3 linked regions of the Rattus norvegicus genome follow. The protein of the gene in region 3 interacts with the protein of the main gene of each other region in a pairwise test. Links are inferred from orthologs where the notes say so. Each region holds a gene or a part of one and is shown on either strand. Other genes may lie near its edges.

Region 1 (10,027 bases), on a different chromosome or scaffold from region 3:
GACATTCTCTACAACTTTACACAAGAAACTGGCATGTGGGGGTTGGGGATTTGGCTCAGTGGTAGAGCGCTTGCCTAGCAAGCGCAAGGCCCTGGGTTTGGTCCCCAGCTCTGGAAAAAAAAAAAAAAAAAAAAACTGGCATGTGAAAACGGCCATCCAGGGGGGCTGGGGATTTCGCTCAGTGGTAGAGCGCTTACCTAGGAAGCGCAAGGCCCTGGGTTCGGTCCCCAGTTCCAAAAAAAAAAAAAAAAGAACCAAAAAAAAAAAAAAAAAAAGAAAAGAAAAAAAAGAAAACGGCCATCCATTAAACTGTCCTGTTATGAATGAGTAAGCCTGTATTTGTTGTAAAGGCCAGTCAATTGTGCCAAAAATTTAGAGGCTGCTCAATGACTTGGGAGGCATCGCCAAGCCTTTACCAGAGTAGAGTGCACCATAGTTAAGCTACCCTAAGAGACTAGGAAGAGGAACAGAGCCTCAAGCACTATGTATTTAATCATATGGTCACCATGAGTCATTCATGACATATGTCATCAGGACAGTGAGATACAGGTCCTGCTCCAACCATCTTGTTAGGGATGGATGGAGATAAACAGACACCAAAGAACAAAAATGTAAGAATGGACCGGGTAGATACTCAGTGTTTCAGAGTTACAGTGAATGTGACCACATGAACCTCCATCCAGATTAAAGATCATCACCTCCCACAGAATGTCTATTCTGATTAATATAACCATGAGGTGCCACAAACCAACTCTGACATGGGAAGACCTCCACAGAGGTGTGAACACTAAGGGTAGAAAACACTGAAGCCCGTTTTAGAAGCTGGCTCCTAAAGTCATGCATTGGTTATTTTGAATATACTGACTTACTTGACAACTCTTACAAACATTAATGAATGCAATCAAATTATAAATAAACATTGCATCTGAAGTCACCATTGATCTCAAAGTCTAGGCACACCGGGAAGCTATCAAGATTATTATATAAGGAGTACAATTTTGTCATTGGTAACAGACATTGTCAACTTTTTTTTAAAATGAGGTTCTTTTCTAATAAAGTGTGTGTGTGTGTGTGTGTGTGTGTACGCCATAGCACACTCCCTGAGGATAGATGACAACTGTCTTTCCAAGCAATAGGTTGTAGGGGCGGAAGTCATGTCATGGGGCTCGGCAGCAAGCATCCTTACCTGCTAGCCATTTCACAAGCCCCCTTGCTTTGTTCATTTCAAGAAAAGGTCAAAGACATGGATAATCAGATTGTCAGCAGTTCAAAAAAAAAAAAGTTGTGTTCCACAAAATCGTGGAACTTTATAATAGCCTTAAAGAACTGATTTTATTGGGGTTAGAGAGATGGCATTGACTGCTCTTCCAGAGATCCAGAGTTCAGTTTCCAGCAACCACTTGGTGGCTTCAAACCATCTGTAAAGAGATCCAATGCCCTCTTCTAGTGTGTCTGAAGACAGGCACAGGGTGTTCATACATAATTTTTAAAAAATGAAAGAAAAAAAGAGAATTGATTTTATTCTGATGGGTGTGTGTGTGTGTGTGCAGGCACTTGCAGAGGCCGGAATGCAGTGTTGGAAATGCCCAGAGCTGTAATTACATGGAGGCTGTAAGCTGCCTGATGTTGGTGTTGGGAACTGAACTTTTATTGGTCCTGTGGAAGAGCAGTGGCCAGTGCTCTTAACTGCTCAACTCTCTGTCCAGTCATCATAATGGAATCTTTACTCACTTCTGCAAGACATCACACTTCAGTGGCAGCAAAAGCACCTTGGTATCGTAGAAAAATGAATGCCATTATTTAGAAATAAATACCCTTGATGAAGCACTGATATTTGGCTTATTACAGTGATCCTGGGAATCAGGAGTCTTGCCAGGTAACATAGCCAGGCCTCATTTCAGGAAGAACTTGTACTTCAGAGCTTCACCTGTAGGGGTGGGATAGAGGACTACATCACTACCATTAGAGTTTGTCGTCAATCACCTCAAATCGACGTAGCAGTTCTATCACTGTGGCGTTTTAACAGTTGGTACCAATGCTCACTTTTGTGAAAAATGGCAATATGTACGAACTTTGGGTATGGAAGGGCCTCCTAATGCTTGGTTTCTGGTGAACGCCAGAAGAGGGCAACAGTTCCCCTATAACTGGAGTTACAGATTGTTTTGAGTCTTTATGCTGAGTAGGGAACTGAACCCAGGTCCTCTGCTAGAGCATCAGGGCCAGCATCAGTGACTTTAATGCCAGTGTTGGGTAAGAGTTTTCTTCCAGGGAATATTTGACAGTTTGCAGAGAAACAAGTTGGTGGTCCTTTTGATGAGTTGTATGTAGGGAGTGTTTTTGTTTGGTTTCAGACCCAGGAACAAATGGCTTAGGTGCATATTTTACATACCAAAGCAGACCTGCTTCCAGGCTCTTCCAGAATCCCTCAGTCCCTACGTAGTATACACTGCCTCCCAAACCTGAATTTTCCAGCACAGGGCCTGGGCTGCCATTCCCCCAGAGGATCTTCACTATATAACCCAGACATTTTGTTTTCTTGTCCCCCACCCCACCCCCTTCTCTCTGCCTGAGAGCTTTCTTTTTTTATCTTCCTCTTCTCTCTCCCTTTTCTGGCCTCCTTCCTTGGGGCCAGTGAACTCACCTGCCCAAGAGCAGCTTCTCAATAAACCTGCATTTTTATATATTTTAATCTGACTCATTCTCCCAGTGGAGAAATAAGTTATCAGTTTACCTCGATAAATAACTAACCAGTAAGAAATGCTGTGGTGAGTTGAAAAAGGGTGGTCTCTATCAATGGACCTTGCTTTGTGTAGCACAGCTATGTGGATAAATTTACCGAGTTTTTAGTTTCCTCAATGTGTACCGGTGTTAGCATCTGCCTGCTAATTTTCTTGTAAGAAGGGGACAGGTGTTACTTTCAGGCTCTGCTGTGGATTCCTACAGGAAGTTTGCCCTTCAGCCTGATTCTCCTTGATCAACTCTTAGTTAAGGTTTCTGTTGCTGGGATAAAACACTATGACCAAAGTCAACTTCGGGAGGAAAAGGTTCAGCTTCTAGTTCCTCAGTCTGGTAGGAAATCAAGGTAGGAACTCAAGCAGGGCAGTAATTGGTCCTTTAGGCTTGCTCAGTTTGCTTCCTTATACGGTCAGACCACCTGCCTAGGTGTGGCACCGACTATAATGGGTTGGGTCCTCCCACATCAATCGTTAATCATGACAATGCTCACATAGATTTCTTTGTAGGCCAATCTATGGAGGCATTTTCTCAATTAAGATACCCTCTTCCATAGCTATGTCTATGTTTGTGTTAAGTTGACAAAAACAAACTAGCACAGCTCCCCTTTGTACTTATTTTAGCTCAGTTTTTTTCCTCTTCTGCATCTCACGGACCCTCAGCGGCTAGGCCTGTCTAGGCTAGGCTGTAAGCCATTTACCCGAGGACTGTGTGTATTGCAAAGAACAGTTGCATAGCTTTGACTCTCAAGCCTGGAGTCCACTCCCGGCTGCATTTAGAGGGTGCTAGGGTCTGGTGTCTTTACTACAAATCCCATAGGTCCGAGGGTGCCGCAGTGACTTCTGGGATCAGTGGTCTCGTAGAAGGGCGCTAGCGGGTAAGAAATTCTTCTTTTCTTCTGTTCGCTTTGCTGAACTGTTAGAACGTCCCAGGATGATTTCATGGGTTTTTATAAAGAATTAGGAAGCACAGGCAGGTAAGGCAGATTAGACTCCAGACAGGATAATTTCCGCTTCCGGTGCCATAGGGCAAGTGGAATGTAAACACGGACCACGGAGTGGCTTTCAGGTAACCGGCTACGGGTAGGCGGTAGGCGGCAGGGGAGAGGGAAACAAGGGGTGAGGGTGCTGCACGAGGGAGAGAGGGACGAGGGTGGCCCGGTGAGGTCCGCAGAGCCCTCAGGGGTGCCTCTGTCCTGGGCACGGGGCGCCGTGGCAGGGTTCTGTGTGCTGGCCCTGCGGCCTGAGGTGCTGTTATAGCGGGCGCTTATTTTTAGTGCAGCCGACGCAGGGTGCAAGTTTTGGATACTGGATTTTCCTTTGGTAGCATTTTGAGGTATCCGGGTCTCTTAATTCTTCACCTCCAGATTCATCTCTCCTGTTCTGAGAGTCGTTGTGACTCTCTACCTCCCGCCGGTGTTTTTCCATCTTGGGTGCCGCATCCTCTCACGCAGTCAGTACGAGAGGACGTTGACTCTGTCACAAGCACCCGGCTTGTGCCCGGGTAAAGTGTCAAGTCGAGCGATTGCTGTGGAGATCATTGTATGGGATTTTTAGAATACAGGTGTTTCGAATTTTAATGCCACGCATCAATTCTGTAGAGCACTTAGACTTTAACTCCAGATGAGAATTAACACCAAACCTGTACAGTTGTGATTTACTCACTTGGTATGTTATCCCGGTGGAAAGTATTTAGAAACTTGGCGCCTTACCTGTCCAAATACAGATCAACCAAAGCTCCTTCTGTAAGCGGTTTTAGTGATAAGTTAATTAAAAACACAACCTAGAGGCGCAAGAAGCGCATAACCTAAGATGAAAACAGTTTAGTTGAGATGTAAGTGGTGTGTTATACAATTCCTCCCTGTAGGTTGTATAACTCAGTAGCCTTGGTTGTTGTTCACAAAATTATGCCATTATGCCAGTTGATTTTAGGACGTTTTAATCACTGAAAAGAGGAACCCAGAAACATTAATTGACAATTGTCTGTATTTTCTCCCCAGCAGCATTTAAGATTCAGAATCGAGTCAGAGCATTACATTTTCCTTGGGGAAGATGTTCATACATGCCTTCCCTCCTGTAAGCCTGGTCAACTTCTATTCTTTAAAGCTCACTTTCCTGAAGCCTCCAGGGTGCATTGTCTGACAGGTCATTGGATCGCACTTGGTAGCACTTACCTGTATTGTATTTGAATTCAGTCTCCTCATCCACAGGCAGTTTGGGAGAAAATATAAACTTGGTATTGTCCTGGTAACACATTCATGCTTTTCACCTTAGTAGGTATGGGGGGTCCAGCCTCGACACAGGATTGGGGAGTTCTCAACTGGAAGCAGGGATATCTGGAAGGCGCATAATAAATATACACAGACTACTTTTGGGGTACAAATTGACAGGCAGTTTTTCAAGGCTTAAAGTTTCTCTTCTCTCTCACTCTTTGTTCTCTCTCTCTCTCTCACACACACACATCTCATGGGCAGGCACCTCATTCTCTCCACTCAGTCTCCACATGCTCGCACATGCTCACACATGTTCTCTCATACTCTCTCATGCTCCTACATGCTCTTTATATCCACCTCACATGCTCTCTTGTCTTTTTCTTGCCCCAGTCTTTTATTGATACCACAAAATCAGGTAGAAAAAAAGATATTGTATAATCATTGCCAAATCAGATTTAAAAAAATAACTACATCCCACGAAGAATTAAGAATTATGAAAGTTTCAAGCTTCCCCTATTCCCAGGCCTGTGACCAAAATAATAATAATTGCAAACTTATCATTATTTAAACTTTAACTTTTGACTTACTATACTTCAGATCTCAGAGCTCCAAGTTCTAGTTGCATTGTTCTGTGAAGCTCTAATGATAAATGACATGGGCAAAGCTATCAGGCAGTGGCCACAAAGAATCAAGTTAACCCTTAACTTAGCAGTTCTGCTAGCTTTTTGCTTCTGCACATTGCACACAATAACACTCCTCAGAGTCCCAGTGTTTTGACTCAGTTTTACTAGTGTAAGATTTTATGTATTCTATACTTGCCTATCCAGGAACCACTCTCAAATGTGGTAGGAAACTTATTTCATAACTTTAATAGATTTTTTTTCTTTCTTAGGGTCCCAATGTTGGCTCTGATTCATTTCCTAATAATTTCTTCAAACTTTCTTTGCAAGTCAAGCATTAATCTGGAACATCGTGCAGTTATTACATTGTTTCCAAGATGAGAACACAGCATGCACCTGGGCCATTAGGGCTGTGCTGTGCTGTGCCCCTATGCCTCAATTTCCAGTTGTTTAAGAATCATTACATCAAGGAACATCTAGTTTCACAGAACTTACCAGAGCAGAAGGAGAAAGAAGTAGGAAAGTCAGATAAAACAAAACAAATATGCATACCAAGGCCAACTGAAAGGCACTCATGCACAGATGAAATCTATACAGCCATTGTGCAGGGCTGAGGTTAGGAGAAATGGGTACTACCTTTTTTTACAAAGAGCTACTGTAGGCTACTTGAGATGTTGCTACTGTAGGCAGTACCTTATTACAGATGGCGGGTGCCCTGGAGGGATGTGTCTCCTGCTTCTCAGGATCCCAGACACCATCCTTTTTTACAAGGAGCTGCTGCAGGCTTCTGAGATGTCTCCATGCTGGCAGTCCCTGTCATGGTATGCTGTCCGTGATGCTGCTTGCTGTTTCTTCAGTATTATGTCTTTTCTACTCTCCACAAGGACTGCGTTAGATTTTTCATCTTTCCCGTATGCATACATTTGTTTGTTTATTTACTTTTCCTTTATGCTGAGTAGATGGCTACAACTTACTTCCCCGAGTAGTGTGAAATCTGGGGACATGAAATCCCTATCTGCTCCTGAACTTTAGAAGTGTCTTCTTGTCCCTCCCTCTTCAAGTTGGAACTTGTCAATTTCTGATGGTCTCTGCCTCCATACTCTAACAGCTTCATTTCTCTTTTGATTTCTATAGCCTTCTATTCAAGGTGTCTGTGGGGAAGAAGGAACATGCTCCGGAGGCAACAGGGTGTGTGACAGAGAGCCTCCCTCTGGGACCTAACCCGAATCTGACCTCAGCATTTAACAATAGTAGCTTAGGTTGGGAGATGGGGAGGGTGGTTGGAATCTCAGTGATTTGTTAACTTTGGTTTTCTCATTGTTCTCATCCTCATCCTTCCCCCTCTCCTAACAGATTTGACCAGTATTTAAAGTGAACACACCAGTAAACACACTAGGTTTTGTCATTAATATATCTGTTACACTGTCTGGTGCTCTGCATTGGTAATGTAGAAAGCAAGTTCCAAATTCTCATTACCTTCAGGAACAGCCTTAAATACAACAGAGCTACCACCACCACGGCCACCTCTTCTTCCTCCTCTTCCTCCTCCTCTTGTATTCTCATATCCTTTGAAGGCAATCTTAAGCATCCATTTTCCCAGCCTGTTCACTCTGTGCCTCTGGATTTGCTATCTATAGAAGCCACACTTTCATTTTTACACATGTCCTTGTTTTCTCCTGGGATGGATGTATATAAAGTGATGTTTCAGACAGAGGAAATGCATTTCCCCATGTGATGATGAGTCCAAGGAGGAGGCTTCCATAGTCCTAATTCCCTAGGACTCCATTATGTATCCAGGATTTCCCATAGTACATGGTTCAACTATATCAGACTATGTACTCACTGTTATGTGGTTGCTGTGATCTGTTACATTTCCTCTTGTTCAGTAGCAGGCCTGTGACCTACAATTCCTTCTGATAGCCACCCTCACTGTGTTGCTGTTCTCTTCCTGTTCCTTATATTCCACTGCAGTCATGTACATCAGTGACCTTGGTATTGCCACATACTTACTGCTGTTGTCCCTCCTCCTCCCTCCCTCTCATAATGTTTGTTGTTTGATAATTTCAAAAAGACCTGAGTTCATTGCTTTCTCCTTAGGGTTACAGATTCCTCCAAGAATGGATAAAATCTAACATGCTCCTGAATGCACACAGTATCTAAGATCCCCCCATCCCCGCCCCGGAGCTGAGGACCAAACCCAGGGCCTTGCATTGCTAGGCAAGCGCTCTACTACTGAGCTAAATCCCCAACCCCTGTCTAAGATCTCTATACCCAGTTGTAGGGATTACCGTGTATCTTAAAGCCCAGCTGTGTACTCATGAGTGACTGGGTTTCTTAGTCCTGTTGCTAAGTACTATCGAAGACTTCCAGAACTGACTTGTTCTACTACTCTTCCTTCCCTTAACCTTTGTATGTCATGCTAGGCTTACAAAGCCATTTTATATTGTTTTTAAACTTTTTTATTTTTGACTTTCCCAATAGTTTTGTTGAGCCATTCAATATGTAAACCTTGTAAAACTCTCCTGTAGTCAGGTGTAGTAGTGCCCACTTGTAAGTTAGCATATGTGAGGTAGGAGGCTAATGAGCTTGAGTTCATCCTGAGCTATTATTCAGAGTTTCAGGACAGCTGTATATATAGTGAGTCTTGTTTCAGAAAGAAAACAAAAACCACTCAAAGCATAAAAATTTGTATTAAGGAGAATTTCAATATTTATAAAAGGGGGAGAGGAGCAATGAGTCATCCATGCTTGTCTCCCAACTTCATCAGGGACCTTCGAAGTGATCTGTGTCACCAGCTCCATGCCATTTCTCACCATTAGTGACTTTGAAAGAATTTCTAGGTATCATATAATTTCATAGCAAATACATTGCTGTTCTTAAAGGAAAAGGCTTATTGAAATTCATACTGTTATTAAGACAACTAAAATACAGGAGTGACTTATTCATACTGTCATGTCTAGTGTGCATTCCTAAATGTCCTTTTAATTTTTTTTTAAGTCAGGAGTAAAAGCAGATATGCACACGAGACTCAGTTGTGTCTCATCAGTCTCTTAACCTAAGGGTTGCCATCTTTCTTTCTCTCCTTCCCATCCCTTCTCCGATTTGTTCATTTCTTGAGGAAACTGCTTTGTTTTTCTACACTGTGTGCCTCCTCCTACCCACATCTGAGGTGTTATTGAGCATGCTTCACCGTATTGTGTGTTCTGTATGAACTGGCAGAGGCCTGTTGGGATTCAGGGTTAGTCTGTAAGAGCACAGCACTCCCATTAGGAGAGGAGGTTTGCAGTAGTGTCCAGATGTCACCTTTGAAATTAGTAGTCCTTGGTGACTCTTCCCTCAGTCCACAAGTAGGCTGTAAGAGGCTATAGTCTCCTGGTAGTCTGTGTCTGTCACTACTAGAATACGTTCATAGCAGTTTATGTTTCTGGGATTTTACAGAATGGCTTCCTTTGGGTGGAAGAGGAAAATTGGCGAGAAGGTGTCCAAGGCCACGTCCCAGCAGTTTGAAGCTGAAGCAGCTGATGAGAAGGGTGCAGCTGAGAGTGAGGATGGGAACTGGCTCCACGCCAGCAAACGGAGGAAGGAAACCCTGCAGGAAGGCTGTAAACAGAGGAGTAAGCAGCTGAAGGACGAAGGGGCTCATCTGGCTGAAAACAAACGGTATGGTTTTGGATTTTTAAAACAGATTTATTTTATGTATGAGTGCTTTATCTGCAGGTACACTTGCGTGCCAAAAGAGGGCATCAGATTCCAGTGTAGATGGTTGAGAGCCACCTCGTGGTTGCTGGGAATTGAACTCACAGTTCTCTTAACTGCTGAGCCATCTCTCCAGCCCCAGAAAGTTTTCTTTTCTTTCCTTTCTTTTTTTTTTTTTTTTTAAATGGCGGACAGTTTACTTTTTCTGGTTCATGATCTCTAATGGAATCAACTGTTGTCTGAGGTAGGCTTTCTGTTACTATGACAAAACACCATGGCTAAAGCAACTTTGGAAGGAACGGGTCTATTTCTTCTTGCTCTTCCAGGTAGCAGTCCATCACCGAGGAAAGTCAGGGCAACAGCTCCAAGCAGGAGCCTGGAGGCATGGCTGAGGCAGACATCATGAGGGTGCTCTTACTGGCTTGCTCCTCGTGGCTTGCCCAGCATGCCTTCTTATATTACTTAGGGCCACCAATGTAGGGGTGCCCACAGTGATCTGGGCCCTCCCACATCAGACATCAGCCAAGAAAAGATGCACCCCAGGCCTGCCCACCGGTCAGTCTGATGGATACATGTTCTCAATTGAGGGTCCCTTTTTCAAAACTACTGTCGGGTCAAGTTGATATAAAACTAGTCAGCACAGATTCATGTTTTAAATATCTGATTTCATTTCTTAAAAAGACAGGTTTCAGAGTCACCTGCAAAATTGCCGTTTATAGTCATATGAAGATCTATACACTGCTTTATTTTACCCTCTGTTGTTCGT
Region 2 (10,333 bases), on a different chromosome or scaffold from region 3:
CCACTTTCTTTAAATAAGATAAAATAAAACCTATGGAGTGAATGACATCAAATAGATTTCAAAGACTAATGCATAACAAATACTGAACAAATGCACAACACACACATACATACATATATTCACATTATGTTCACATATACATACACACACATACATACATATACACACATGTATGCAAACACACAAATACACATATACATGCACATACATGCATATACACATACACGTACATGCACATACATACACAATACTCAAATACATACACACATATACACACATAAATACATAATATACACACATATGCACTCATACATATATACTATACACATACCCATATATACATGCACAAATATATACATACAGACATACATACTTATAGACACACATACATATATATATACACATAAACAGACACACACACACACACACACACACACACACACACACACAAATGCCAAAGAAAAAGAAAAGATGATAGGAAAATTAGGAAACACACCTATACGTGAAAACAGTCAGAGCAGACAGTAGCCCAGGGCAACATGAGCAATGTGGATGTCAAAGTCTGACTCCTCTCGGGCAAGTCTGCTAGCTATGGGACCTGGGACATATTACTGTCTCTAAAACAAAGTCAAGGCCTGTCTCACATGAAAATGTTAAATAAGACAGATAATGAATATAAGATTCAATGCATGTAGTCTATAGTGCTATGCAGTGTAAGTATACTGAAGCACCCGTTGTCTATATAAGTCACATAATCATTTATATAAATACATTGTAACTCGGTTAGAGGAAAACCTTAGTGCTGTTTGCCAAAGTCTTACTACTCTAGGTCAAGCAGTAAATTTTAATCCAGCAGGAATACATACACGTGTCTAGAACTGTTCTCATGATCACACGTGGCCATTATTTCTAGTTAATCTGAAATGGTGTTTTCGCTGCAGAGACAAAAGACAATAGGAGATGAGACTCCAAGTCTGTTTTGCTGACTTTGCACACAAATGGCGTGTGTGTGTGTGTGTGTGTGTGTGTGTGTGTGTGTGTGTGTGTGTGTGTAAGTCTAATCCTGGAGGGATTCAGAGCTGCAGGGCGCCTCTGAACTTTAGGTAGTGGCTAAACTAACGTTAAAACAAAAAAGAAAAAGCAAAGAATCTTAAATAGTTTTAGGATCACTGATAACTTGCTCTAACTTTATTCACAATCATTTCTCTGTTTGAAGAGGCAAAAAACATCTCCAAGCTGGAAAGGCGGCAAACACAGTAACTGAGTCATTTTATATCACATCCAAATCCAGAACGCATTGACTCTCTTGGTCACATTTAAAGCTATGTTGAACACTTTCTAATTGTTTTCCTTTCGATATTTCTCCCCAGGGCAAAAAACAAACAAACAACAACAACAACAACAACAACAACAAAACAGTTCAGAAACATGTGGGCAGAGCTCAAGCCTCCTTGTCCCGCTCCAAGGGCCATGCACCTAGTCCTACCTTCCCTACAGACGATTGTCATTGGTTTTCATGCCTATGGCTGTCCTCCCTTCAGCACAGAACCCCAGACAGCAACATCAGCAGGCCCAGGTCCAGAGCCCAACACTATTCTTACAATACAGGGATACAAGGGTTCAAGGAAGGCCCAGGTTCTTCTGCTAAAGCAAGGAAAAAGCTCAATAGACCACAAAAACTTCCTTCACAGTGCCTTCCTCTTCTGCAGGCTTCTTCCTCCTCTTATTTATCCTCCTATTTGATTAACTGGGTTCATCTGTATGATCTTGAGTTTGGAACTCACCATTAGAAAATGGCAGGCTCAATAGTGGGTACACAATCATGCCTCCCTTTCTTCTAGAATCTGAGGATTGCCAACACGTCAGCAGCATGTGACAAAGGCTCGTGGTTCCCTTCTCTCTCCACAGATGACTGTTAAGATGGCCTGACTTTTGGGAACTCGGTGTCAGCGTGCCCATTTGCTGTGAGCTCATGGTCCCTATCCTTACGTCTTGCTCTCTCCCAGTTTCTCAATAGTCCCTTTTCTCACACAAACTGTACTTACGTCATGATTAAATCTCCCGGCTTCATTCCTCTCACCATCTTTAGCATCACAGCTCTCCCGACCCTGATTTTCCTTCCTAATCATTGGTAACACGTTGGGTGCATTACTCTAAGATGAGAGTCTGGAGACTGCCTTCCTGACCTTTCTAACTAGTCTATCTTATAGCTCCTTCCATTGCGTCACTCAGCTATTTAATCCTAATTCTACACCAGCAACACGCACGTTCCCATAAACCTACCAGTCTTCTGAGGTAGCCCTACCTCTGGAGTTACAAGGTCTGTTTATTGTTATAACTTCCTTTTTGATTTTTGTTTTACCCTACCCTTAAGGACTGGCTATTTTGCCTACATCCTTCTTGCCTCTGGCTTTCCTAACCCTTTCCTTTCTTCAGCACCTGAATTTCCTTCGAATTTTACTAAGTCTTATTGGAGAAATTAACATATGCAGAGGGTGTTTCTGTCATACACTGGTTATCGTCAACGTTAGGGGGCACTTGGGCAGTTCAGCAACTACTCACAGTGCCCAAGCCTCACTCTAGCTTCTTCTCTCCTTATTGACCTCTTGCTATGCCCATGGGTCCTTCATAAGGCCTCTGTAGACACAAATAGATAGGAATATTGTGTTTACAGTTTTTCTCATTTTAGGCTTTTTAGACTTTAGTAATCTAAGCATCCTATGAGTACATCTAGATTTATCTCCTTTTGATTTTTAATAATCTGTGGTGATGGGGATGGGTTTTATATGAGCTACACCTCAAGCTGGATTGTGCCACTTGACTTTGGAAGCATCTAGCATCTATGGTACAGTGGCACTCTAGATTTCACAATTTGAAAGGCGTTCCACATTGCCGTGGTACTGTAAGTAGACTGGCCACGAGGTGGCTATTTGAAAGGTGCTCCTCGAGTTGGGGATTTAGCTCAGTGGTAGAGCGCTTGCCTAGGAAGTGCAAGGCTCTGGGTTTGGTCCCCAGCTCCGAAAAAAAAAAAGAACCAAAAAAAAAAAAAAAAAAGAAGAAGAAGAAGAAAGGTGCTCCTCACTAATGGCCTCTGGTCATCCCCATCCGACTTGCTCTTCCGGCAACATCAGACACTCTTGACGATCTCATGACCCTGGCTAGTCCACTTCCGTCAAACTGTTCCCTAGACATCGACTCCTCTCCTGCTTGCTTTCTCCCATCCAGCGCTTCATTCTTGGTGGGCTTTGTGTCCACCATGTGCCTCTCACATCTGGGGGCGTTCCGGGCGTTTGTTCTTTTTTTTTTTTTTTTTTTTGGTTCTTTTTTTCGGAGCTGGGGTCCAAACCCAGGACCTTGCGCTTCCTAGGTAAGCGCTCTACCACTGAGCTAAATCCCCAGCCCCCCGGGCGTTTGTTCTTCACTCCTTCTTCTTCTTCTTTTTTTTTTTTGTTGTTGTTCTTTTTTTCCGGGAGCTGGGGACCGAACCCAGGGCCTTGCGCTTCCTAGGCAAGTGCTCTACCACTGAGCTAAATCCCCAACCCCGGGCGTTTGTTCTTAACAGTTGATTTTATTTCTCCCAGTTTATTTTATTCCATTCTTCATTTATCCCCCAAACTAACCTGACAATGGTTTTCCAAATCTACCTTAGTACATTCTGGAGTCGTTTCAAGTATGACTTTCAGGTTGCGAACCTTAAAGATGTCATTTGGGAGGCAGTTAGCTTAATGACTTCCTCTTTCATATTTTCTTTTTTTCTTTCTTTCTTTCTTTCTTTCTTTCTTTCTTTCTTTCTTTCTTTTTTTCCCAGAGCTGAGGTCCGAACCCGGGGCCTTGCGCTTGCTAGGCAAGCGCTCTACCACTGAGCTAAATCCCCAACCCCCATCTTTCATATTTTCACCCCCTCCCACCGGGTCTATCATACCCACAGCGACTGGAGTGTTTTTATTGTAAAAGCACAAATCAGAAACTGTGTTCTCCTCTCTGCCCTTGACATGTGTCTCTGTGCCATGGGTCCTCACATGGTTTACCTTCCGTTTCTGTTTCTGATCTTGGGTGAAATGTCACTGCAGACTCTTTGATCATATGGGTAAAGACACTGCTCCCCTCCCCTTTCCAGGAATGGCTGGCTGAACTATCCAGACTGTGTTTTCACAGGGCTTCCCTGTGCCCCTTCCCAGAATGCAAGTTCCAGGAAGAAGAGTTTATCTGGTTACCAGGTGTAGGAGCAGAACCTGGCACGGCAGACAAAAGGCATTCCTCCTTGAGGGAAGGAAGGTCCTGCTGTTTAATTGAGAGCTGAGCCCCACCTTTCAACCTGAACAGTTCTATTTAACTGAGAGGTGTTTCCTTCCCAACCCACTCATTCTAATTAAATCCATTCATTTCCATAAACAGATTAGCTGCGAATTACACGCTGAGCTCTGGAAAGAGGATCTTAATGGTAAATCAGCCCCGCCCACCACCTTCACACCTTTTCACCCCATCCTGGACTCACAACTACCATCCGCTAGAGTTTAATTTCAATATTGTGGGAGCTGGGAGCCCTCGGGCTGACACCTGAATGAACGATCCCTGAAGTTGAAGAGGTTTGGACCTGGCCCCACTTCCATCCTGACACACTACTGGGTTTTTCACACATCAAGTTTGTCTTCCGTCACAGACAAGGCATAGGACACTCTAGCTGCTGGCTTCGGCAGAGCCGCGCCCCAGATTCAGAGTTCCGATTGCATTCACTAGCGCTACTTTGCACCTTGGCTGCCCTGAAGAGTGAGTTCTCAGTGGCCGTTTTCAAAACAGAACTCAAAACTCACTGAAGTGAGGAGGCAGTGCTAAAAGGAAGGCCACTAGAGCTGCGTGCTGGGGATCTTCCTAAACCCCGGCTGGCAGGCTAGAGTCCTTGTGGATAGCAGAAGTGGGGACCCGGTAGGAGGCTGGCTTCCAGGCCAGGAACCCGCGGGGAGGGTGGGAAGGGAGGAGTTATTGGGAACTCTGGATGAAGGAGTGATTTTAGTAGGAGTTTCGTCAGACCGGGTGGAGAAGGGAGGCCTGGATGCGAGAAAACCAGCGGTCTCCGCCCGGAGGAGGAACAAAGCCTTGGCCGGTTCTCTCCCGAACGCTTGTCAGCTAAAGGGTTGGGGGGCGGGAGTGGAGGGGTGCCCCGAAGGGAGGAGAGGGGAGGGGAGAGAGCTAAGGGAGCCGGGAATCCGGAGTTCGCATTTACCACGACGCCTCGCCCGGAGTCTGGCGCCTTCTCACTGCTCCCGGCCATGTCTCTCGCTGGGAACGCCGGACGGACAGCGCCCGGAGGATGTGGGGGCGGGGGGGGGGGATGTGGCTGGGGCTGCCCCGCCCCCAGCCTGCGGGCGGGAAAGCTGGGGCTACAGTCGAGGCCCATTCCCGGGGCGGCGCGGGAGCAGCTGTGGAGCAGCGCCTGATGCACCTGAGCGCGCTCCGGGGAGCGTCCCTGGCGGCCCCCCGCCTGCCCCTTTGCCGGCTCCGCACCCCGCGGGGATATGGGTCAGGCCTGCGATTCGTTCTGGAGAGAAAGCCGTCCCTTGTTATTTTCCTTCTCAAAGCCCATCGCTGCAGCCCCCAGGCCAGCAATTTCCAAGACTCCTCCCTGCCAGATTTTAAATGCACATTTGTCCCCAGTCAATGCATTAAAGAGAGGCAGTGCAGCGCGTTCTGGGCTTTGGAAGTGGGCCGGAGTATCCCGGAGGACTTCAGATCTTGGCGCCCTGCCAGGAGTTGGAAAGCGCCACGAGCCGGCATTTCCTCCGACCAAATCCTGGTGATCCGATGAGCCCAGGGCAGGGACTTTTTACAAAATACTGTATCTGATTTACCATTTTACTCTAATTGTCCTAGGTTGTAGCTAAAGGCAATTGCTCTGCTCTGATTAGAAAGCCTTGTTTTATGAATCTGTTGTTAAACCAACCCCTAATCCCAGGTTTCTTCTAGCCCAGCGACCTGGTCCTTTGTTCTTTCCTCTAAGGTCCTGCTTTCTGTTTATAGTCCTTGGTCTCCCTCATCTTGCCAGAGCCTGCCCACGGCCCACTTTGGGTTTAATAAAGGGTATACATGGGTATAGTTCTTTTGACTCTGTCTTCTCCAAAAGATGTTTGCTAGGATAGAGTATAGCTCAATGATAGAGCATTTGCCTAGGATGTGAAAGGCCACGGGGGTTGTAAACACAGCAACACACACATACATGCATACGTACACGCGCGCACGCCTCAACACAATGGCTTCTTCACTCTTTGGCTAAGATCAAGTGCCAAAAAGATCTATTCGATTTTCGTTTTCTGGCACACATTGGCAAGAGGAATACCGATTGTGTTGCTTTGAAGGGAACAAGTTACCTATCAATTCATGTTGCCCTGAATTGGAATAATTGTGTAATAATATTGTACTTATTTTTGGTGGACCAGCCATGCTCAGCACTTTGGCTGTTAATGTTTAAGCAGCCGAACTGTGGAAGAAGAGGGGTACAAGGTGTGGGCTCCCTGACATTAGTCCCTGGGCTTGGTGCTGGCTGCATCAATGTGATGTTCTCTAGCACACAGGTAAATAGTTTCAGTCTACTGCCTCTCACCTGTTTTCCACTTCATTTCTTCAAAAAATGGGCCCAAACAAATATTCAAAAGCAATATTATTGAAAATTCCAGGAATTGATCTGGAGAGAGATGGCTCAGTGATCAAGAGTACTTCCGTCTCTTACAGAAGACCGGGGTTCAACTCTCAGCACTCAAGTGGTGGCTCACAACCACCTACGGTAACTCCAGTACCAGGGGATCTGATGCTCGCTTCTAACCTCTGTGGGTACAAGACAGGCAGGTGTTGCCTACATGTAGGCAAAGCACTTGTACATGAAATGAAATGACATAAATGAATCTTAAAAAGAAACTCCAGGAACTGAAAAGTACTGTTGTTATGGTAACAACTGAACTCTAGAGTGCAGGAAACATGTTAATGCGGTTCAGTGGCCACACTTTTCCCGATGGTTGGTACAGACCTAAGGTGGGGCTATGGGTGGTTCACAAACCCTGCTGGAAGATGCATCACGCGAGTATCCAACTGCTTCAATGTCAGACTCAGCCACAAAAGTCTCCCTGTGAAGTCATAGTAAGAATTATGGCGGCAGGGAACTTCAAAATATTTTTCAGGGCAGGGCACGCGTCTCAGCATGTGTTTAGGATGCTCGCTGGCTGAAAAATGGCAGGTAGACCTTTTTCAAAAGCCCATACGTTTAGACATAAACAACAATGAATTTCTGGAAAAAAGTATAGCTTGCTTGAAGGACAAGAAGACTCTTTTTGTTGGTGTTCTGTGTAAGCTCCATCCCCACAGTTGCAACAGCCAGGTATGCTCCGCCCCACAGTTGCCTGGCAACAGCCAGCTGTGCCTCGCACTATAAAAGGGGCTGCTTGTCCCCTCCTCACTCTCTTGCTCCTTGTTCTTGTCCTCTTGCTCTCTTCCCCTTTGTCTCTTCTCTCCCCATTCCCCTCCCCGCTTCCCTCCACGTGCTCATGGCCGGCCATTACTCCTCCCCTTTTTTACTCTTCTTCTCTCATTAAACCTTTCCACGTGGAACTATGTTGGCTTGTTGTGGTTTGTCCAGATGCAAGCCGAGATTTCTGCCCCAACACTTTTATGAATTCATGTTCTAGACCATTCTATAGACATAAACAACAATGAATTCAGTGAAAAAAATTAGCTTGCTTGAAGGACAACAAGAATCTCTTATAAATTCACGTTCTAGAACATTTTATATATAATACTGTAGGACATTTTATAAAGAATCATAAATAAACTTTAAAATAATAAGCTTGTATTTTTCCTGTTATATTTTGTATTTGTTGGACTATGATTGATAACTCTGGATCACATGAATGTGATATAATATTAAATTATACTTGCAATGACCAGAGCCATAATGTTTCTGTCAAGGCTTTAGAATTAATCGTACAGTAGGAAGATTTAGAGGCATATTTTTAAATTTCTGTAATAAAGGTTCTGAAATAGTTTTGGATAGGAGTTTCAATTCTAGTATGACCTGTAGGTCTTTAGCACATGAGTCTAAACTAGTAAGATAAATGTATAACACAATTCAATTCTCTCCTCTGTGAGGGGGGAGGGGTAGGCATTTCTGCACTGCATGTGATAATGAGGTTAACATGAGAAAACATTCATGAAGAACCTTTGAAAATGTTTAAAAAAAAGTGTAACGTTATCTGCTTGAGATGCCATGAAAAAAACAATTCATGAACAAAGAAAGGTTTTTGATTGCTGAAAAAAGGAGACATTGCCTCTCCCTGGGATGAGCCTCCTGATTAGTTATTCAATGGTCTCTCTCAGGAATGAGCCCCTGGATTGGTTATCCAATACAAAGTGGTCAGTCCTAAGACCATATACATTCAAACAACAAAAATGGACTCAGAATGCTGTATTTGTATATAAATATATATGTATATATACATATAAATGTATGTGACAATAATAAGGTAAAAGAGGCTATGAATTCAGAGGGAATAAGGAGGTTAGGATGGGACTGAGGAGTAGCTGAAAAGAGGACCAGAAGGGGCATAAGTGATGTAATTCTATTTTAATTAAATATGTATAAAATAAAAGAATAAAAAGGAAAGATTTATGCAATTATTATATGAAAACTGATAGGAAATTGATGTGTGTGTGCATTTGTGTGTGTGTGTGTTTGTGTGTGTGCGCACATACCTGAAGGGTAGAGCAGGGCACCGTGTATCCTGCTCTGTCATTCTTCAACCCTATTCCCTTGCCACAGATCTCCCATTGAGCCTGGAGCTGGTCTGGTAGCCAGGAAGCCCCAGGAACATCTTGGCTCCACCCTAGGCAGTACCGAGGTTTCAAGTGTGCACAGCCATACACAGTTATTTTGATATATTTTATTTTTTATATGTGGCTGCAGGGATTTGAACTCAAGTCTTCACGATTGAGCAGCAAGCCTTCTTACCAACTAGGCCGTCTCTCCAGACCCTAGGGATTACTCTTTAAAACTTATGTAAGAGCCTGGGGAAAGATGGCTCAGTGGTTAAGAGTTCCCTTACAGAGAACTTGGATTTGGTTCCCAGCACCCACAGGGCAGCTGACAACCATGCATAAATCCAGTACCAGGGGATCAAATGCACTCTTCTGACCTCCACTGGCACCAGGCATGTGGGGTAAACACACGAAAAAAAAAACCACGAAGGCCAAACATTCATATGCATAAAATGGAAACAAATAAATCTGTAAAGAATCGACATAAGGTTCGGACACACCTATCGTCTGTAGACAATCTGGGACTGATATGTCAAAAGATACAGAAAACATGAGAATATAATTAAAGTGATGGGTTATGTTTCATTAGTAAGTGGGGTGTTAGTTCCGACTGTCCACTAATAATTTTTCAGAGGAGCTACAAGAACAAAGATGTACATCTGTTATTATAACGTATAAAATAGATCTGGGGGAGTACCTGGTGGGCTCACGTCAAGGTGGCCCCCTGAGAAATCACACCGTGCAACAAATCTGGTAAATAAAGGAGATTTATTGGGGGTAAGGGAGAGGAGTGAGTGATGTGCTTATAAAAAGATAAAGAGAAGGGGATATGTTCTATGGAGGTGTAGTCAGGTGTGGGGGAAGTGGGTGCCTCGGCGGGCCCATGCTGAGGCTTCCCTTCCCACTGAGGGACCAGCCACACGATGGTATAGTATAGAGTTTACTTAGGGCATGTGGAGGGGAGTCAGGACTGTGGTAGAAGCAAAGAAAGGGGGAGAGAGAGAGAGAGAGAGAGAGAGAGAGAGAGAGAGAGAGAGGAAGAAGGAGGAGGAGAAAGAAGAAGAAGAAAAGAAGAAGAAGAAGAAGAAGAAGAAGAAGAAGAGGAGGAGGAGGAGGAGGAGGAGGAGGAGGAGGAGGAGGAGGAGAAAGAGAAAAGAGAAGAGTGAAGTAGAGGCTAGTCATGAACACGTGGAGAGGGAGGGAGAAAAGGAGTGGGGAGAGAGCAGGGGAACAAGAAAGGGAGAGTAAGAACGTGAGAGGAGCAAGAGAGAGAGAGAGAGGAGGGGGCAAGCAGCTCCTTTTGTAGTGAGCCAGGCTCCCTTGGCGATTGCCAGGTAATTGTGAGGCGGAGCCTACCTGACTGTAGCCAAGTAACTGTGGGGGAGGGGCTTAGACAAAATGCTAACCGTGAGAGCCTGGAGAAGGGGTAGAGGCAAACCGTTGGAAGCTGAGCCATGAGGGCCTAGAAGCAGGGGTGGAAAAGTATAGAAAGGGGGACAGAGGGAAAGAGTTTGGCCAGGAACTGCCCACACCTGGG
Region 3 (10,128 bases):
ATCCTATCAAGATGACAATGATCACAGGTGGCCATGCTTTTGGTCCAGTGTAGGTGAGGGGGGTGGGAGACAGGGAGTGAGAAGAGGTGGGATTTCTTATACAATTTTTCTTGCTGTACACTCAGAGCACTTCCCTTTCCTTATCCAACCACATCTTTGGGGCAGCTGAGGACTAGCACTGTACAGAGATAAGAAGGAAGCAGGATGCCCCAAGGCCCTTTCTGGCTCCTTTCCTAAGGTAACCCTTGTCTTCTGAGGCCCTACTCTTAAGGAGAGTGAGGACCAGCAGGTCATGACAACCAGCAGAGAACAGGGCAGGGAGGAGGGGAGAGGGGCTAGCCTGTGACTGGGTTAGACTGTGTCTGAGGGCATGGGTGTTGGGAGGGAGGGAGGGCTGGGGTGAAAGTGGTGGTGGGAGTTTCACCTTAAGAGACCTGGCTGGGACTGAGAAATAGAACGCACACTTGGAAGGACAGCATTCCAGACCTGAGGGTATTCAGGGGTTTGAGGCAAAGGTAGGATCATATCAAGGGGGCTGGGTACCAGGACTGGCCAGTAAGGACGGTTTTGAGGTTGTTGCCGCTTCCAACGGTTCTGAAATCATAACTCTGAGAGCACTGAGGTTTGAGAATTTATAGAGTTCTATAAAGCTTTATTAAGTCTGGCCTTATCTCTAAAATAGAAACATATAAAATCCCACACATTCCCTTTCAACATTCTTACTGGAAGACCACGGCTTCTCTGGGAGAACCCAGAGCAGTCTTCTCTCTTATTTCTTGGCATCTTGGTCAAGGATAGAAGCCAGTTCGGCCCAACTTAGGTGAGTGAGATATTTAATCGGTTAACAGGAAGTGCTTATATTCAATACAGTATCTGAACACCAAGGGAGAGAGGCCAAGAGTGGGCAAGCTAAGGGCTCATCTAAATCAGCTCCATTCCCTGGCCTCCTGCTCTAGTGAGGTTTGCATATCCCTGGCTGCAAGCACCCGGGTTCTACGACAGGGAAATGGAGCTCTCTGGTCTTAAACTGCTTTCCAACCACGTCTGCATTTGTTGGGTAGGTGACGGTTCACAGGCCAGGTGGGTACAGGCGCCACAGCACACCTTGAGAGATGGCGGACCTGGGGTCTGCCGGATTCAAATGACTTGGTCTCGTCCCTCATGGCATATGTACAACTGAGGGCCCCTTGGGAAGGCAAACTGGCAAGCCAGACACTAGTTGTCTTGAGAGGCAAAAGGGAAAGGCAGAAAAAAAAAATCAATCAGCTGAGAAGATCAGAGGTGCAGACACCACTGGGCACCTAGAGGAGGTGAGGAGAATGGGGATCTTCCCTGAACCCCTTGCCAGGGAGCCGGTAGAGTGGAAGGGCCAACCAAGGCAGCAGAGCGGGCGACAGGAACATGGGAAGGGGCAGCCTCTGGATGGACTTTTCTTCTTGGAGCCCAGTGTGGAGGAGAAAGAACATGCCTAGCCAACAGAGCAAATGTAAGTACCAGCATCTCCCCTGTGGGCTCAGGCCTGGGCAAGGGAGACAGGAGCTGCAGGGCCTGGGGAGAGAGAAGGCAGGGTCAGAGGGACAGCCAAGGAGCAGGCACTGGGGATTGCTGGGTGGGTGGTTAGTCAGCTCCTGATGCTGAAGTTGGATCTTATGCCTGGGTCAGGGCCAAACAGCACCACCGTGAAGGGAGTGGGTAAGAAAAAAAAAAATGGAGAAACCTGCTTCAGTGTGTAATTATCTGCAGATCCCCAGCTGAGATGGTGGGATGGCTCAGCAGTCATCTCTTAATAGACAACTGATGGTGAACAATGGGGCCCTGTAAACATGGGTGTAGCTGGAGCTCCTCAGGTGGTAAAGGAGAGACATGGACACTTCCAGGAAGTCTGTCTTACTCTGGGCACTCTGAGGACAGCTGCTGGGGAGGGGCTGTCACAGCTTTCATAGAGAAGGGCCCTCCTTCCTCCAGATGGAGCTTTGGGGCACTCACCATGTCTCAACGTTACTCAGAGTCCAACAGTTCAAGTAGCATGTCCTCATCATCTTTGAACTGAGGGTAGAGAAGGAGAGAGACAAAGGAGTGGTCAGACCAGCCCTGAGAATTCCCCTTTCATTCTGGCTCAGCTTTCCTCAGCCTGGGTTAGTACTGGGACCCGAGGTGAGGTGGCTAGCCCTCTCAACGGGACTGTCAGTGACTACCACAAGAGGGTTCCTTGTGACAAGGGGTTTGGCTAAGACCTCAGACGATGGCTTCTTTTATCCAACCCTTAGAGAAACATCTGCATTTAGTTCCCCTTCTATTAGCTTCTGGTGCCAGGGTTGAGGGAATATAGAGCTAGCCCATGCCAAGACCAGAGACCAGGATCACCCAAGACTGCCCACTCAGTCCTTGGGGTAAGAGGTGCTTGCCTTGATGTGGTACACTATCTGCCAGAACTCGGAGTTACTGCTTCGGTACCTTTCCTCAGGGTATAGCTGCCACATTAAAGGCAGCTCATACGGCACCAGCTGACTTGGGGTCATGGAATCCCCCAAGATGACATCTTTCTGTCGCATGATCACCTGGAATTTTCCGTTACTCTGCAGAGGCAGAACAGAAAGAACACAACCTTTGCCTCCTGCTGACTACTGTTGGGCTCCTCTGAGCACACCACCAGCAGCCATTCTGTCACTCGGGGGGCGTGGGGCTATCCCCACAGCCTGAGCACAGACACCAACCCTGGACCCAACTCTATAGCCCATGCACAATCTTAGGAACTCTGGCTGGACCTGGGTTTAGTCATCCTCAGGGTGCTCTTTTCCTGCCAACCTCCTGTTGCTAGGGTAAACCATGCAGCCCTCCGGTTTGGTCCCAAGAGTGTGTATGGGGAGGGTCATGCATGCACAGCAGAGAGGACAACCTTGGGTGTCATCTCTTGGACATTATCTACTTTTTCTTTCGTCTATTTACTATTGAGACAACATCTCTAATTGGCTTGGAGTTCACCAAAAACACCTCACAAGAAAACAAACAAACAAACAAAACCAAAGCCCAACCCAAACCAACCAAATGAAAACTGGATGGTTTGGCTGGTCAGCTCCAGAGATCTGCGTGTAGCTGCTTCCTGAGTGCAGTCTCCATAGCCATCCTCATACTTACAAGACGAACACTTCGGCAACCTTACCCAGCCTTGCCAGGTTATCTTTTTGTCCAGTGTCCTCTTTTAAATGAGGTCTCGGTCCATGGACCTGCTGTGGAAACTGTAAGTGAAATGCACTGTCTTTCCTATCAGAGGGTTAAACGAGATCAAGGAGCCACCACCTCTAAAGAGGTTGGCATGGGACCCATGAGCAAAAATCCCTCCTTAGAGCCCGAAGTTTTCTAAGATCTAAGTATGCATTTAAGGTTGCGATCTGTTTTCAAAGTTATGCTTCGCTCACTGACCAACAGTGCAGCTCTGAGTCACTCAACCACATAGGCATGGAGTTGACCAACGGGTGTAAGGCTCTGGACCACTCTGGCAGGAATACAACTTCATGTCTTTGGATTGTGTGATCATTCTCTTGAGGACACCCTGCACCCCCCCCCACACACACACTCATTTCTAACACTTAGAATCTGGCGACAGCAACATTTCTCCTTCACTAGCATGGCTCCTCTGGGCTATGGCAACAGTATCCTCCGTTACTGTCTTCAGATGCCAGGGTTATGGAAGTCATGGCTGCTAGATTCCCAATGCTTTCTCTTCATGGGCAGAGGGAGTCCAGGGCCCACAGAAATCCACAAAGCCTACACCAGAAGTGTCTCTGCCTCCCTCCACTGTTCTGTTCACACCCCTCCATGATCCATGTCGTCCCAGCCACAATGTGATGCCTGGTTTGTGGGGTTCTCACAGTCTACGCAGCAAGCCTCACCAAATCTGTGAAGGGCGAGCTCCCTTTTGGGCAGCCCTCTGTTCAAATGTAGGTCTATAAAGAACAAACACTACATAAAAACCACGTTAGAGTAGTGATGAAACATACAGTTTTATTAACTGACAGGAGTTAAAATTCATTGTTTTGAAGCAGGACCTCATCATATCTAATTCTTGCCAGTTTGGAACTTGCTCTACAGGCCAAGCTAGCCTCAGACTTACAGAGCTCCACCTATCTCTGCCTCCCAAGTGCTGAAATCAAGGGAGAATACCACATAGGCACCACATGTAGTCAGTTCCTGTCCATCATGTGCATCCTGGGAAATCAAACTCAGGTCATTGGGTTTGGTGGCCGTAGTGGCTATTCCTGGTTGTCAACTTGACTGTATCTGGAATGAACTACAATCCAGAATTGGAAGGCTCACCTTTGATCCTGATCTTGAGGCTGGGAGATACAAGTTTCTAACCTGGATCTTGAGGCACAGTGGCTATGTATCCCAGGAGCTTAAGGCAAGGAGATCTCTGAGTTCAAGGTCATCTGGGACAAAACAAGTACCTGACCCAGGCATGGGAGTACACAACCATTAATCTGGGACACCCCTTCTGCTGGAGATTTACATAAGGACACTGGAAGAACGGAGGGTCTCTTTTTTTGTCTGCCTGCCTTGTAGCACTGAGCCACCACTAGAACCTTGAACTTCCATTCACAGCTGCTACTGACCATGGTTGGAGAGTTGGATTACAGACTAAGTCATTGACCAATTCTCCCGTAAGTTCTATGGCTCTAGAGAACCCTAAGACAATGAGAAACCTGGTCTCAGCCACCTCACCAGCTCCTGAAAATGAGTTTTATCCACCGATTTGGGATGGAAAAAACAAAACGGAAAATTCACCACCTAAACACACAAAGCATCTTCCCCCAACACACACACACACACACACACACACACACACCCAGTACAAGCAAACCATACAAGGCAGACCAGTTAAGACCTGGTGGGACCAAACAGCACAGGCCTGCAATGCCTACTACTCAATAAGCTGAGGCAGGAGGATGGATCCTAAGTCCAAGGCCTACCTGGGATACAAAGGGAGCTTAAGGTCAACCTAAGCAGCTAAGACCAAGTCTCAAAACTGAAGACCTGTACAAAAGGGCTGGGCTGTGGCTGTGCAGTAGAGTTCTCGTCTGTTCTGCACAGAGCCCTGGGTTTGCTCGTCAGCAGTGCAGGGGAAGAGAAAGCAATTTGAAACAAGACGACTCAAAATGTGACAGGCGACCACAGTCTGTGAGTTCACAGTGTGCTGACGCCCCCTCTCCACAGCACAACTCACTTCCCCCGCCCCCAACCCCCATGCCTACTTTCTTCCCCCACAGGACTCATCTGCCAGCCTAATCATTACTTTGGTTACCCCATTCCCCACTGCACCTCCTTCCCAAGAATAGGGCTCCTACCATACTCCCTGCATGCCCTCAGTGCAGACCTGTGTTTGGGATTTACACTAAGCACTCTCAGGTGTTTAACAAGTGCACTTTTCCCCCAACGTGAGACCACTCCTGTGTAATGATCTGCGGACGACGAGATCAGTTGAATCTGTTAAGTCAGATTGTGGTGCCAGGTGTGTAAGCTCCACCATTCACAGCCCCTGAGTCAACAATCTAACCACTGTTACAAATTATCCTGTTTCCTTATTAAAGCACACATACACGGCTTCTTCAGTCATGGGAAATAAACCCTGCCTTGGAGTTCGCTACCAGGCTCCTCCTGTTCAGACAGCATCTACCACACCTCTGGAACACTCGTTGGCTCACGGTTTGCATGAAAAGCTAGTCATTAACCGGATATTAACAAGAAATAGCCACCCATGTTGTCTTCACACATCTGACTTAATGTTTAAAAAAAAAAAAACTAGATATATGTAAAGTTAGCGTTGTAAAATGACAGCAAGAATGTAAATTTAAGAGCCCAGAACTGTGGCTCCACCATTTACTAGCAGCACCCCAAGTCTGCCAGGAAGCCCCACCATCTACTAGTCACTCCCAAGGCTCACAATCCCCAACTTTGCCGGAGTGGAGCCAGTTCTCAGGCCCTGGCGTACCACGCAACGTCTCAGCAGTTTAATTTTGCTTTTATAGCTTCTCTTGGCTTTACAAGTGGAATACTTTCTGCTGGAAAGTACCTCTAGAAGAGATTTCTTTTGAAAGCACCAATGTTCATTAAGACCCATGCCGAGGACTCCACACGCAAAACAAAGTTAAGTCTTATTACCAACGTGGATACTACTGGCTACCCAATTTTATGGTTTAGGGAAGCCTTGTTTCACCCCAAATCATAATCACACACCCCAGGCAATGTGTGAGAGGGGCTTGTTCACTGAACTCGGGGTGCCCCCACCCTCCTCCAGGCAGGCCCACAAGGCCCGACTCATCTGGGGTTTCCCTAGTCCTCCTGTTTCAGGCACAAGGGACCCGCTGTACTCTGGTCTCCTGTTACCAGGACTCCCAAGCCCAGACAGGGTATACCCCTGCTGCCCGACCTGCTAGCCCCAAGGCGGTTGGTACCTTGATGACTATCGGCAACCAGCTGCGACGAAATTCATCCAAGTACACGTGCTTCTCCCAGAGCCACAGGCGGTCGGGGTGTGGGGGTGTCTCTGGCCTGTATGCCAGCTGGTTAGCCATGGCATCCGGTCGGAGCAAGAAGCAAAAAATTGCAATGCCAGTCCGTGATAAAGCGACTTCCTAAGCAGAGAGCATAAGAAACTTGCTATTTATCACCACCAGGTGTGGGCCTGTGCCCCCTGGAGCGAGGCGGGGCGGGGCGGGGCAGCGTAGTGTGGGTGGGGCGAACCACAAGGATGGTATGCAGGACACTCAAGTGGACTTCCACCAGGTCTACGTTTGCAGACCTGACCCATCAGACCTAGGGTTCTTCAAGGCCCCCAGGAGATGTTGCTTCTCTCCAGGTACACCCGGCCACCGGAAAGGTATCCATGACCTGTCAGGAAAAACAGCCCTTTGCGTCCTTTATGGTGAGACCCCACGGTCCTAGCTACTTTGTGTGACTGCTCAAGCCACACACACCCCCATGGCAGAACACCCAGAGTGAGGTCCATCTACATATCTCCTGGGATCAGAAACCAGTCCGGTTCTCCATCACCTTCAGCCAGTCCTTTTGGGTGTCACAGGCAGTTTCCTTTGCAAAGTTCAGTCCCCTCCCTCTTCCGCTCATGACTTTTTCCATGGCTCTGATGAGGCTGTGGTCTTCTAATAAGTCTTGCAAAACATACTTTTGAAAACATGGGTTTACTGTCTTTGTCCTCCGACTTAGAGAATGCATCAGTCCAGACCCAAACTTAAAAAGAAACCCTCCCTACACCCAAGATCAATGGATTTGGAAAGTCTCTGAGTTGCTCAACCAAAACTGTCTCGTTGTAAACAAATAAGGAAAACCAACTTTCATTATTTTACAGTAACGCCTGCCCATTAAGGCAATTAAGAAATTAATGGAAAACATGGAAAACCCAACTCTGGGCTGGATGCTTCAAACAGCCCTTCAGCTAGCATCTGAGCCTTGGCCTCACTGAGGACTCACGGAGGAAGCCATTTGTGGTCTTCGGAAGGTCAATCCCCCAGAAGTGTCAAAATGGCCTGAGGTCAGCCTGGTGGGTTCAGATTAACCGGAAAAAGAAACAAAGAAAAGACTTAAGCCCTTCAAGCGCAGACCTTGGCCTTCAGAATTCAGACTAGCTGCTTTTGTGCCCATTTCCCTGTAGATGACTGTCTCCAAACCCAGGTAACTTCGTAGAAAGATGAAGACTTTTGGAATAAGCTTGGTGTGGAAGTTCTGGGTGAGTGCAGCCTTAGCAGGAGGATAATTACTTATTTTTTTTTTAAAGATTTATTCATTTATTATATACAAGTACACTGTAGCTGTCTTCAGACCCACCAGAAGAGGGCACCAGATCTCTTTATAGATGGTTGTGAGCCACCATGTGGTTGCTGGGAATTGAACTCATGACCTCTGGAAGAGCAGTCGGGTGCTCTTAACCGCTGAGCCATCTCTCCAGCCCAATTACTTATTTTTAATTCATTATTTTGTGTTTGTATTTGGGTGTGCCTGCCATGTAGGGCTCGGAGAAAAACATCGTAGGTCCTTGTAGGACCTTATAGGTCCCTGGGATTGAACTCAGGTTGTCCTAGGCTGGGTGGCAAACACTTTCACACGCCGAGCCTTCTCACTAACCCGCTGGTGGGCACAGCATTTGTGGCAAGGGGAAAGAGTCCCCCAGAAGCCAGGATGGCCCAATCCAGACACAGACACGGCCCCAGGGAAATCTGCTGATTTTCTTCCTCCACTCTCTGCTTTCCTATGTGGTGCTGGAGAAAGCGAGGGTTCTAGGATTCCGGTCCCTTTTCTTCTCTGAAAATATTTCTGAAAGTTTGCACTCAGGCCTTTCGATACTGAGCTTGAGTAGACCCCAGTCTTGTGTGGTGCTTCATTCAGAAAGGTTTCAGAATAACAAAACAGGCGGATCCGGGCGTGGGGCAAGTGTCCACTTTGATACTTTTAAAATGTAAATTTCACAACGGGGGGGGGGGCGGAGGAGCGGGGGGGGGGGCGGGGAGCGGGGAACAATAGCTATTATGTGGACTCAAGCGGGAGGAGCCTAAGATTTCAGGGCTCCAAGCCTGTCAGCCAGAGTTTTAGAATTTTCTGTTCCCTTTTGAATCTTTCTGTTCTTAGTCCTTGAATTCTCACGCGTTAAGCGCCTGGACTTCACAAAGCAGCCATCCTGCAAGGCCCCCTGAACTCTGACATCTTGGCGTCCTGCCTCAGGTCTTCTTTCGCCTTGACCGCTATCACCTGTGAACTTGGTCAGCCCTTTGCTAGTTTGGCTTCGGCTGCGATGAATGAGGAGCAGAAGCTCCTCCTCCTCGGATCCTTCAGACAGATCATTTCAGAGACCGAAACCCCTGATACCAGCTCAGGAAAGCCTGTATAGCTTTTTCTTTTTTTTTTTTTTTTTTTTTTTTCGGAGCTGGGGACCGAACCCAGGGCCTTGCGCTTCCTAGGCAAGCGCTCTACCACTGAGCTAAATCCCCAACCCCTGCCTGTATAGCTTTTAGCAGGAAGTTTTTGCACCAAGCATTTTGTGGAACGCCCTAGTCAGGAATTCCAATTAGTGGCCAAAAGGAGGACCCGTTCTAGAGCCTCCGGACTACAAGTATGGTCCTTCCGGCTAACCGCGCAGCATCACCTGGCGCTCGTAAAGAATGGGGTTGTGAGTCTTCCCAGCCCTCTGGAGTCAGACTCCACAGGAACAAGAACCCCAGGTGATTCCTGGGCAGAACGAGGGGGTCAGGGGTGTGCTGGGGTAGTGGATGGAGGTGTTTCAGAAGGGGGAGATGACACTCTTAGCAAAGCACCAAGCTTTTTGCATTTCCTTGTGACACAGGAGTTTAGTTCTCTCGTTTTAGGTCAAACTCAAGTCTACTACACAAAATGTTTGTTCTTAGAGGAAAGTCCTGGTAACCAAGGCCACCCTAATCCAAACTTTGCCAGTGAGTGATACCTCTGGCTGTAGTGGGCCCAAGTTTCTGGGTAGAAGTGGGTCTCTTTCTGAGCTTTCTCTGTTCTGTTGCATTTCTATGATAAAAACCACACTTCTGAATAAATCATTTATGAATTTTGAATACCAGGGAGACTTTGCCTTTCTTATTTTTTTCAAAATTATTTTAACTGCCTAGGGGTGTTTGCATTTTGCATTTAGTGTCTGGGGAGGATTTGATTGCCATCTTACTGAGTGTGTACATCAGGCAGAAACTAGCCTTTATTGGGATTTAACAACATCTTCATTAAAGCGTTATTTTTGTTTGGCATAGTTATATTGTTTTATACTTTTGTTGAATGGTATGTGTGTGAATGTGTGTGTGTGTGTGTGTGTGTGTGTGTGTGTGTGTGTGTGTGTTGCATGCACATTAGAGGTGTGGGTGCCTGTGTAGATATATACAAAGACCAGAGTGGAACCTCTGGTGTCTTCCTCTTCTCCCTGTATTGCCTTAAGACATGCTCTCTGGCTGAACTGAAAGTTTGCCATGTAGGCTAATGGCCAGCAAGTTCTCAGGATTCTTTTGTATCCACCTCTTAAAGGTGGGGTTATGTGCACCAGCAGTCATGCCTAGCTCTTTACAAGAGTGCTCGAGATTGGAACCCTGGTCTTAGGCTTGTTGTGGTTTT

What was found.
Region 1: the proteins of Tcl1a (region 3) and Ttc33 interact in binary tests that used the Homo sapiens proteins (3 or more experiments, as listed by UniProt). The two-hybrid records come from large-scale screens. The link is inferred for Rattus norvegicus from reciprocal best matches to the Homo sapiens genes TCL1A and TTC33.
Region 2: the proteins of Tcl1a (region 3) and Prtfdc1 interact in binary tests that used the Homo sapiens proteins (3 or more experiments, as listed by UniProt). The two-hybrid records come from large-scale screens. The link is inferred for Rattus norvegicus from reciprocal best matches to the Homo sapiens genes TCL1A and PRTFDC1.

The regions. Positions count from the first base shown.
Region 1 is NC_086020.1:56,003,861-56,013,887, forward strand, and holds the start of Ttc33 (tetratricopeptide repeat protein 33), read left to right. Parts: upstream 1-3,609; 5' UTR 3,610-3,674; coding exon of another isoform or gene 3,675-3,709; 5' UTR 3,710-3,801; exon of another isoform or gene 3,802-3,815; intron 3,816-6,704; exon of another isoform or gene 6,705-6,753; intron 6,754-9,003; coding exon of another isoform or gene 9,004-9,004; coding exon 9,005-9,225; intron 9,226-10,027.
Region 2 is NC_086035.1:88,557,473-88,567,805, forward strand, and holds the start of Prtfdc1 (phosphoribosyltransferase domain-containing protein 1), read right to left. Parts: upstream 5,270-10,333; coding exon 5,222-5,269; intron 1-5,221. UniProt on the Homo sapiens protein: Has low, barely detectable phosphoribosyltransferase activity (in vitro). Binds GMP, IMP and alpha-D-5-phosphoribosyl 1-pyrophosphate (PRPP). Is not expected to contribute to purine metabolism or GMP salvage.
Region 3 is NC_086024.1:129,889,127-129,899,254, forward strand, and holds Tcl1a (T-cell leukemia/lymphoma protein 1A), read right to left. Parts: upstream 6,631-10,128; 5' UTR 6,570-6,630; coding exon 6,450-6,569; intron 2,577-6,449; coding exon 2,406-2,576; intron 2,047-2,405; coding exon 1,999-2,046; 3' UTR 1,987-1,998; intron 1,549-1,986; 3' UTR 637-1,548; downstream 1-636. UniProt on the Homo sapiens protein: Enhances the phosphorylation and activation of AKT1, AKT2 and AKT3. Promotes nuclear translocation of AKT1. Enhances cell proliferation, stabilizes mitochondrial membrane potential and promotes cell survival.